3 linked regions of the Rattus norvegicus genome follow. The protein of the gene in region 1 interacts with the protein of each later gene in a pairwise test. Links are inferred from orthologs where the notes say so. Each region holds a gene or a part of one and is shown on either strand. Other genes may lie near its edges. The genes, in order: Kifc3, Trim54 and Cby2.

Region 1 (3,753 bases):
TTCTTTTTCTTTTCTCTTTCTTTCTTTTTGTTTTTCATGACAGGGTTCTCTGTATAACTCTGGCTCTCCTGGAACTAGCCTGTAAACCAGACTGGCCTCAAACTCACAGAGATCTGCCTATAGACGTACAGTACACCATCACTGCCCAGTGTAAAACAAAAATTTTAAAATAGTCTAGCGTGGCGACTCACACCTTTAATTCTAGCCAGCACGTGTGAAGCTGAGGCAGATGGATTAGAGTGAGTTGGTGGCTAGCCTGGACTACATAGTTCTAGTTCAATTTGAGCTTCGGTGTGAGAGCCTGTCTCATCAAACCAAAATAACAAACATAGATAAAATAGAAGCAACGATCAGGTAACTTTAGCTTTGCATGATACTCGAAAAAAATTAAGAATATAAGGCGAGGGCTGGAGAGATGGCTCAGCGGTTAAGAGCACCCGACTGCTCTTCCAGAGGTCCTGAGTTCAATTCCCAGCAACCACATGGTGGCTCACAACCATCTGTAAAGAGATCTGATGCCCTCTTCTGGTGTATCTGAAGACAGCTACAGTGTACTTATAGATAATAAATGAATAAATCTTTAAAAAAAAAAAAGAATATAAGGCGAGGGTGGTAGAAAGTCACCCTCTCTTAAGAAATAAAGCAAGAGGGCCACACAAGCACAGCGTAGATACACTGTTAGGACAGAGGTGATTGCAAACAGCTATGAGAAGAATTTGGGACTTGTTTTTAATGTTGATGAGGACGGAGCCCAGGACCCCACCTATACCAGACCCGTGGTCTGTTCAGAACCATGTACCCATTATGTGCAATAGGATTTTAAAAGGAAGGGTTTTGGGTTTGTTTCTGTTTATTGCCAGAAGGTCTTAACTCACTATTTAGCCCAAGCTGGCCTTGAAGTTGGTTCTCCCCCCCCCCCCCCCCGGAGCTGGGGACGGAACCCAGGGCCTTGCGCTTCCTAGGCAAGCACTCTACCACTGAGCTAAATCCCCAACCCCTGGCCTTGAATTTGGAATCCTCCTGCTTTAGCCCCTTGAGTGTCAAGAGTAGGACGATTTTTGGTGAGACAACACTAGACACTGAAAGACAAGGTTTTTTTGTGGGCTCCAAACAGTGTGTTCCAGCATGTTCGTGTTGGGCAGTACTTTTTGAAGGCTTGGTTCGTGGGCAGCTGGTTGTGACTGATAACTAAAGGACACTGGGCAGGAGGAGGGGATGGCTGCCGAGCCTCCAGGGAGGTGTTCGCTTAGGAATTTGTACTTTAGCCCGAAGGCTGTGGGGCACTAGGGAAGGAAGCTGGCTCGGGAATGTCTTGGGCTGAGCTGCTGTTCGGAGAAGGGACCCTGGCAGCCTTCTGGAGATCCAGAGACAAAGATGAGCCAGAAGTGGAGACTGGGATCACCACGCAGCAGAATAAGGTGAGGACCAGGGCTGAGGGACAGTGGGAAGGAGGGGGAAGGCAGAGAGAGGTTTCAGGTAAGACGGGTTTCTCTGGCTAGAGGATCGAGATGCTTCTGGGGTTCAAGTTACTACCAAGACAGGAAAAGAAAAATGGTGTTAACTAAGTGTCTGTGTTTTGGGACTAAGATTTCAGAAATTGCCTCTTGGAGTTAACACGTACTTATTTGTGTATATACATGCTTACGCACACGCAGGACCACACGTGTGGACGTGTGTTCCATTGGTAGGAGTCAGTTCTCTCCTTCCACTACGTGGGACAGGAGGACCCAACTCAGTTCTTATTCCTGGAGACAGGTGTTCCTGAGTCATTTCATGGCCCCTGGAAATGCCTTCTGGCATGACATTCCAAATGGATGTACACCAAGTACTCTTGGGTAATAACCTCTCAACTAAAGGGGCTCACTCTAGAATACTCCCCAGCCCTACTCCACCCACAGCATTAATTAGAGTTATAGGTAGACCCCTCACACCCCCAGGCCTGAGAACCTAGGGAAGTGATAGATCTGTCTGCCCAGCATACACAAGCTCTGGGTTCCATTCCTGGCACCACGGCTCCCCAAACCGATAACCTCCCCTCCCCATCTTCATGGTCATCCTCTTCTAGAATACGACACTAATATTTTCCTTTCTTTTTGTGAGGTGCCGGGGATAACTCAAGGCCTGTACCTACTAGGCAGGTACCCTACCACTGGGCTAAACTTCCTAGACCCCTGTCTTTTGTTTGTTCCTTCCTTCCTTCCTTTCATTCATTCATTTTTTTTGACAGTCTCACTATGTAGCTCTGGCTAGCCTGGACTCACCATGTATACCAGGCTGCCCTAGAACTCACGGAGATCCACCTGTCCCTCCAGAATTGGGATTAAAGACATTCACCAGCACGCCCAGCCCCAGTGTATTTAGTTATCCTAATGCTGCTGCCCTCGGAATCCTCTTCCTCTGGCTGACGCACTGATAAGGCTCAGGACATTCTTTCTCTCTCCTTGGCCCACAGTCATGGCGAACAGTCTGAAGTGGCCTTCATGCTAGGCAGCTAGGCTACCCTTGCGCTGGATGGACAGAATGTCCTGGGAATGAAGAAGGAGGGCTCTTTGGGGATGGCCCTGGAAACCTAGAAGTATTTGCCAATGCAGAATGCCCTGTTTCCTTTGGGCCAGGTGTCACACTGATTTAACCCATCAGAAGGTTACTTTGTATCTCAAACTAAAACTTCTGCAAACTGAATAGAAGTGTGATGATGAGTCGGGGAAGCTGGGGCAAAATGCTGTCCCTTTGCATGTTTGAAGCTCCCGGGTGGATTTGCTCGAGTCGTGCAGGCTTCTGAACCTGTTTGGTGTTTTCCGAAAGAGCTGCTGTTCACTTCTGCTTGTTCGTTTTGTGGTTTTGCCTTGCTCTGTTTGTGACGGAGCCCAGGCTGGCCTTGAACTCACCACATATAGCCCAATCTGGCTGCCACGTTTCCGTCCCCCTGTCTCATGTATAGGCATGGGTCAGCATTTTTCTCTCTCCTTGGGCTTGCATTTTTCGGGGCTTGCAGTATGCCAGGACAGTTGATCCCGGCTCCCATGGAGCCTCCAGAGTGGGAACAAGAACTCAGGTGACAGGATAGGACCTCAGGACAGGTTCTTCCCTGGGACTAGGGAGCCACTTCTGAATTCATGCCTGAATCCAATAAGCACTTAGTAGATAGGGATGGCGAGAAAGGCCCTTCAGAGGGGCTGGGGGGATGCTGGGATGCCTCCCCACACCTCTCTCTCTGAGACAGGGTTTCTCTGTGTAGCCCTGACTATCCTGGAGCTCGATCTGTGACCAGGCTGGCCTCAAATGCACAGATCCACCTGCCTCTGCCTCCTGAGTGCTGGGATTAGAGGCCTGTGCCACCACCATGTGGCAAGGGGATGCCTCTTTAGCTGAGCTCTGAAGGGTGGAAGAGCTGCCAGGCACAGGCAGGCATGAGGAGAACCACCCTGCCTGCCGGATCTGCTTCCAGAACCCCAGCTACCTTTTCCTCATGTAAGCACAGACTGCCAACCAACACTTCAGCTTCCTGAACCATTTCACCTTTAAGAAAAAAAAATGATTTCCTGCCCATGGGACCCCTTGCCCTTCTGGCTTGCAGTTTCCTGGGGAGCACTGGCCCTGGCCAACTGTATCTGATTTACTACAGGACTGGGAACCTGTCCTGCCCAGTGCTGTAAAGAGGATTGGGGTTCCGTGACAAAGGGGAATTCTACGTAAGCTTGTTTCATTCAAGTCGGTTTGGTCTTTCTAAACTTTACTCCGCCTTTCTGCCTT
Region 2 (3,653 bases), on another chromosome or scaffold:
CTACTGTCTGAGCTGTGAGGTGCCCACCTGCTCTCTCTGCAAGGTCTTTGGCGCCCACAAGGACTGTGAGGTGGCCCCTCTGCCCACCATTTACAAACGCCAGAAGGTATGTACTCAGGGAGGGATGGGAAGGGGGTTGGACAGGGCAGTTCTCACTGTACTTAGGTAAGGGGTAGCTGAGCAGGGCAAATCCCCAGCTCTGGTCCTGACTCTGCACATGACCCTGAGGCAATTGCCTGACCTCGCTGGCCTTGCCTGCCTTCTCTGGACAGGCGAGGTGAAGACATAGTTGCTGTCGTCACAGCATCAGCTAATTAATACCTGACGGGAGCCACTTCAGGACCGTATCCACCAAAGGACCAGATGCCCTCAAGAGTGTGAAACCACACAGCTAGCTTCTAGATATGCACGGTTTTAAGATCACAGTAGCTGGCCTCTGAGAAGAGAAGGGCATCCTAGGAGGGGTTGGGAGGGCAGGGCCAGAGAAGTCCTGTAGACAGGAGAGATGCCACTCCTCAGATGACCAATGCTGGCACAGTTCTGGCTAGAGATGGAGGCTGTGCCACAAAACCTGCAAAACGTGTACAGGTAGAGGTGTGTTTGAGTCCCCAAACATCAGCTGGGGTTGAAGTCCCAGGATATCAAGGCAGTCAGCTGTGTCACCTGGCTTTTGACAAACAAATGCAAGTGTCAAGCTGGAGGAAAATACCTTCAGTGCAGGCCCTTAGATTAGGATCAATGCCACAATCTCTCTCAACGGAAGACACACAGAGAAATGGACCACATGAGTGAAGTTATCAGAAACAGTGACACTGGGGCTGGGGATTTAGCTCAGTGGTAGAGCACTTACCTAGGAAGCGCAAAGCCCTGGGTTCGGTCCCCAGCTCAAAAAAAAAAAAAAAAAAAGAAAGAAACAGTGACACTGTGAACCCTCAGGGAATTCAAAAGCTGATATTGAGAACGGAAACTTGCTATGTACACGGTGTTTTTAGAAGATAGAATAATGTCAGGTGTGGTCGAGCACTCAGGATGCTGTGTGGCCAGCCTGGGCTACATAAAGAGTTCCAAGTCAGCCTGGGCTGTATAAGGAAAGACCCTGTTTTAAAGAAAAATAAAGATGAAATAAAACAACGATAACAACAATAACGAAAGGTGGAATTGGAGATATAGGACACTTGCCTTAGCACAAAGCCCTAGATAGATTCCCAGACCTGAAACAGACGTATAAAATGACCATGTAACAGCAGCGGCCTGTTGTGGTGATGTACACTGTAATCTCAGTGACTAGGGAGGCCAAGGAAAGAGGATATCAGATTCAAAGCCAGTGTAGATAATATAGAAAGGCCCAATCAAAGAAAAACCCAAACCAAAACACAGGGAAAATAGATCTGAGAAAGAACTGAGTGGAAGCTAATAACTGTGGGAAAATCAGTAGACGGACCAAGTGATGGATTTCTCAGAAGAATCACTGAATGGAGGAAGAGTACAAACAGGCAAACAAGTGAAAAGGACAAACAAAAAATAGAATGCAGTAGCACCAGGAAGTGGCAGGTGGAGAATGGGAAAGCGGACACAGTCCTATTGGACTCCCAGAAGGACATGAATAGAAGGGAGCAGTGTTGTCTGAGTGGGTAGCCCCAAGACCTCCAGAATTAATGAAAGCTGTGACCCTGCTCATGAAGCATCTAGCCCAGAGTATGGTACATGGTGGGTGTCTAGATAGTGTCACCTCCCCAGCCCTCTAGATCGTTGCAGATGTCCCCAAATGATCCAGGTGGGACGAGAGGGGTTGGGGCTGGGACTTCCAGCTCTAACGCTGGCCCATGTGTGTGTGACAGAGTGAGCTGAGTGACGGCATCGCGATGCTGGTGGCAGGCAACGACCGTGTGCAGGCAGTGATCACGCAGATGGAGGAGGTGTGCCAGACCATTGAGGTAAGCTCGGGCTGGCAGGACAGAGGGGACAAAGTGGTCCGTTCAGAGTCTCCGAGATACACAGAGAAGAGTTCTTTGACTTCTGGTCAGGCTGGTCAAAAAGTTTCCAGACTCTAGCTCATGGTGGGTTGTTTTTAACCAGCTTGCTCCTGGCACCCAGCAGCTCTGTAACGTTGGTCACATTATTTCCCTTTCCCAGGCTTTCATTTTGTTTGTTTTTTTGCTATATTACATGGTGATGACCAGAGGGATGGAGGTAGGATGATAGCAAGTTCCAGGCCAGCCTAAGAGAATTATGGAAATCCTATTTCTAAATAAACTAAATAGGAGACTGAAGGAACGGCCATTCAGAGCCTACCCCACATGTATGTGATATATATATATCATATAAGTATATATATGATATATATATATGCCACCAAAACTAGATAAGATTGATGAAGCTAAAAAGTGCATGCTGAAAGGGACCGGATATAGATCTTTCCTGAGAGACACATCCAGAGCATGTCCAATACAGAGGTCAATGCCAGCAGCAAAACACCGAACTGAGAACAGGACCCCTTGTGGGGAATTAGAGGAAGGATTGAAAGAGCTGAAGGGGTTTGCAACCCCATAAAAACAATAGTGCTTGGGGCTGGGGATTTAGCTCAGTGGTAGAGCGCTTACCTAGGAAGCGCAAGGCCCTGAGTTCGGTCCCCAGCTCCGAAAAAAAGAACCAAAAAAAAAAAAAAAACAAACAAACAAAAAAAAACAAAACAAAAAAAACCAACAGTGCCAACCAACCAGAGCACCCAAGGACTAAACCACTACCGAAAGACTATACATGGATTGGCCCAGGGCTCCAACTGCATATGTAGCAGAGAATAGCCTTGTTAGAGCACCAGTGGAAGGGGAAGCCCTTGGTCCTGCCAAGGTTGGACCCCCAGTGCAGGGGAATGTGGGGGGGAGGGGGGTGGATTAGGGGGAACAACCATATGGGGGGAGGGGGAAGGGATGGGGTCTTATGGGCAGGAAACTGGGAAAGGGAATAACATTTGAAATGTAAATAAAGAAATATATCTAATAAAAAATAAAATTTCAAAAAAAATAAGTAAATAATTGAGCAGGGTGTGAGAGCCCCAAACTATAATGGCAGCACTCTGGAGGCTGAGACAGGGGGATGTCTCATTCAAGGCCCACTTGATCTTGTCTCGAAAATAAGTGGGACGGGAGAGACTGCCCAGTGATTGAGACAAGGTATTGCTACAGCAGATGACCAGAGTTCAGTTCCCAGCACCTGCACTGCAAGGTCAAAACTGCCTGTAACTCCCAGCTTAGAGAATTCAGTCCCTCTGACCTCTGATCGCCATGGGCAAATACACCAAGCACATCGTATACCCAATTGAAAATAATGCAAATAAAATTGTGGCAATAAATAAATAAGCAAAATAAAATGACATAAATGTGAGAGGCATGGGGAGGAGGGGTTTATAGAGGATGGAGGGAGAGAAAAGAGGCTGGGACGTGAGATTATATCAGTGTATATATTCATTTATCAATGAATACATTTAATTAAAATTATGTAATGAGAAACAATTACATACCTTATTATACATAGTTAACCAAACATATTTGAATATTGTGGCAATATTTCCAGTAAATTAATCCTAGAAATTTAGATTTATTGTTTTACTTTCGATTATGTGTGTTCCTGTGTGTCTGTGTATGGGCATGTACACA
Region 3 (3,136 bases), on another chromosome or scaffold:
ACCTGTCAGTCAGTAAATGGCTTGGAGTTCCTGCTCCCATGTCAGTTAGAGATGGTAGAGCCCATCACATGGATTCTAAGGATCCTGAGTGTCACAGTCAACATGCAAAGACGTCAGGAGAGGAGTGGGTTATGGTTCTTGGCTCATTTCCTAAAGAATGTAACCCGAGGATCCTAACTAGGGACTTCATGTGCTAATGACAAGTCCATGTGGATTCCCCAATTTTTGTAGATTTTGGTAGGGGGTATTGATGGGCAGCGGTCTACAGGAACTCTGGCTTTCAGCTCAATGTCATTCTAAAAAAAGTCGGCCTGTCGGTCTGTGGCCTGTGCCCCATCTCCTAACCCCTTGCATTTTGCAAAGCCATTTTTTTTTTACTATGTAGCCTAGATAAGCCTTAAGTTCACAATCCTCCTGCCTCAGCCTCCTGAGTCTTAAAAGAGTACAGAAATGTACCATGATAGCCAGTTAAGACTGAAGAAGGGGAGAGAAGGTACAGGGGCTGAAAGAAGAGAGAGGGGGACATGTTAATGAGATAGTTAATGAAGGAGGAGGGGCAGGAGGAGGGGGAGGAGGAGGAGGGACAGAGGGAAAGAGGTAAGACGTTAAAAGAGCAAGAAGGAAGGAGAAGGAGAAGCCATAACTCCACGGTGGTGTTGGCTGGCCCCAGCCTCCTCTGCCTTTATTGTGTCTCGGGTGGATGATGGCCCTTTCTCCGCTGTCCCACAGGCACGCACTGCTGGGCCAACACAAGGAAGACAAAGGAAGGTTGAGGATTCTCTCCGGCCTGGTCTTGGCGTCTATGTCCACTGCCGAGGCCTCAGACCCTGCTGGGCTTTTTGGGATCTTTGTTGTTCTTGGCCGGCATGAAGGCATACAACTCCTCAATAAGCATCTCCATACGAGCTGTGACCTCAGTCACCGTGTCGATGACCAGCCGCTGCTGCAGCTTCAGCTTGTTGTTCTCCCACAGGGCCTTGTTCTCCTCCTGGAAGACGCGATGCTCCTCACGCATGGCGTGGAGAGCCCTGTTCTCCTCCTGCAGCAGCCGGTTCTCCTCCCTCAGGGCCTGCAGTGCCTGATTCATCTCTCTCAGCAGCTGCAGGGGCTGAGCGCTGTCAGTTAGATTAGGGCCTGCCTTGCCCTCTTCTTCCCCAGATGGCCCGGACAAGTTGGTAACCATCTCCCTCAGGGCGCGCAGCGTCTTCGAGTCCTCCTGTGTTGTAGGGGACGCTTTGGGCTCCTCAAAGTGGGAGGAGTGGCTTGTGCTCTGATCTGGCAGAAGCCCTGAATTATGGGGTTCCTCCTTGGGTGAGGAGGTGGGCTTGCCCTCCTCAGCAGAAGTCGCACTCTCTTCTGCCTGTGCCCAGTAGGCCTGCCTCTGCTCCAGCAACTGCTGGAGGGCCCGGTTCTCCTCTCGAATGAACTGTAGGGTGTTCTCCTTGCTACGCTGGGCAGGCAAAGTGGCGTTGTCTTTCTTCACTACTTCCTGGGAGGTTGTGTCTTTGTGCAGCAGTGGCGAGGAGGTCTGACTCTCCTCGTGGCCCAAAGTGACCTTGTGCTCTTCCCAAAAGACCTGTAGAATCTTGTTCTCCTTGCGGAGGGCCTTGTTCTCATCCCTCAGAGCCCTGTTCTCATCCCGAAGAGACTTGTTCTCTTCCTGCAGCAGGTACTCCTTGGCCATCCTCTTGTGGTGCAGTTTATGGTGGAAGGAGGAGGAGGGAGAGAAGTAAGGTGACTGCAGGCGGCAGCTCTCGTTCACCCAACGCCCATCTTGGAAGACAAACATCTCGTCGCTAAGCTGCACTCGGGGAGGGTTGTAGTCTAGTTCCAGGTCGGCCTGGGAGGTGGGGCGCTCCATGGGGTCAAAGGGCATAGAGGAGAAGCGGTTGAGTGGGTAGGAGTGCTGGCTGGCTACCCTGCGGCTTATCCGGGGCATGGCAGCCTGCCTGGAGCAGCGAGGAGTGGTGTATAGGTTGTGGAGCCTCAGGAAGGGCTCCGTGCCCCTCTGTGGGAGGAAAAGCAGGGAAGCTGTTAATGGAGAAACTGTTAAGAGGACTGCTCAGGGTGGACTAAGAGGCCTGGAGACCCCCTCATATGACCTCCAGGGATCTTCACAAGGAAATATACCCAGCCTTTGCTATTCTGGGTAGCATTCTTCTGAATTAATGATCACGGAACCATGGTTCCTAGGGGGAAAAATGGGGCAGTTTCATCATAAAATTTCTGTCGACTGACCAGATAGAACACCGTGCTTCTGTTTAAAGACACTGTCATGGATACGCAGACTGACAGTGGGTGCATCATATACCATGAGCAGAGTTTATCTGACAAGCTCGCTCTTCGGGGCACAGCACAGACCGTGGTTATTAAGAAGAGTCTTTATTCGGTCCCCAGCTCCGAAAAAAAAGAACCAAAAAAAAAAAAAAAAAAGAAGAGTCTTTAACTGTATCTGTAGATGCCACTTTAAACGGTGAAGCCAACAAGGAGCACAAAAGTTTCAAAACCAAGCTGGCTTATAAACTGAAAACAAGACCCTTTGCCAGGATGAGTGTTCAAACAAGGGGGAGCACCCGAACCACAGTTCTTGGCCGCATACCCACATACAAACTCTGTAGATCCTAGAGAGACCACAAATACTCTATGAGCACTAAAGCTGGTGTAGTCAAAAGGTCCATACATTCAGTCATAACTATAAAACCTATAAATAATTAACCGTGCACTGGGCAGGCCTATAACCCCAGATACTCAGAGACAGTGTAGAAAGGAATATAAGCAGAACTTCCAGACCATACTGGATGCTTTCTATAGCAAGTCCCGACCAGGACTGCATAAAACAAGACCCTGTCTCAAAAAAGGAAAAGTCACACATAATAAGACCCAATCATGTGGCAGAAATGAAAGGTACTTGTTTTTTTTTTTTTCTTAACCTCTGGCCTTACCACTTATCAGTTATATGAATCTGGGCAAGTTGTGTGAATTCCAGTTTCTACAGTGTTAACCTGGGATAACTGCACCACCTTGAAGAAGGCATCAGATTTCTCAGAGTCGATGTTACAGGCATTTGCAGGAAGTCCAGCTGGTTATGTGGCCGCATTTTACCTGTATAATTCACTTAATCCTCATAGCGCTGGCA

The links.
Region 2: the proteins of Kifc3 (region 1) and Trim54 interact in binary tests that used the Homo sapiens proteins (3 or more experiments, as listed by UniProt). The two-hybrid records come from large-scale screens. The link is inferred for Rattus norvegicus from reciprocal best matches to the Homo sapiens genes KIFC3 and TRIM54.
Region 3: the proteins of Kifc3 (region 1) and Cby2 interact in binary tests that used the Homo sapiens proteins (3 or more experiments, as listed by UniProt). The two-hybrid records come from large-scale screens. The link is inferred for Rattus norvegicus from reciprocal best matches to the Homo sapiens genes KIFC3 and CBY2.

The regions. Positions count from the first base shown.
Region 1 is NC_086037.1:9,829,961-9,833,713, forward strand, and holds the start of Kifc3 (kinesin-like protein KIFC3), read left to right. Parts: upstream 1-1,198; 5' UTR 1,199-1,307; coding exon 1,308-1,418; intron 1,419-3,753. UniProt on the Homo sapiens protein: Minus-end microtubule-dependent motor protein. Involved in apically targeted transport. Required for zonula adherens maintenance.
Region 2 is NC_086024.1:30,961,422-30,965,074, reverse strand, and holds part of Trim54 (tripartite motif-containing protein 54), read left to right. Parts: coding exon 1-106; intron 107-1,838; coding exon 1,839-1,934; intron 1,935-3,653. UniProt on the Homo sapiens protein: May bind and stabilize microtubules during myotubes formation.
Region 3 is NC_086033.1:57,318,169-57,321,304, forward strand, and holds the end of Cby2 (protein chibby homolog 2), read right to left. Parts: intron 2,009-3,136; coding exon 821-2,008; 3' UTR 652-820; downstream 1-651.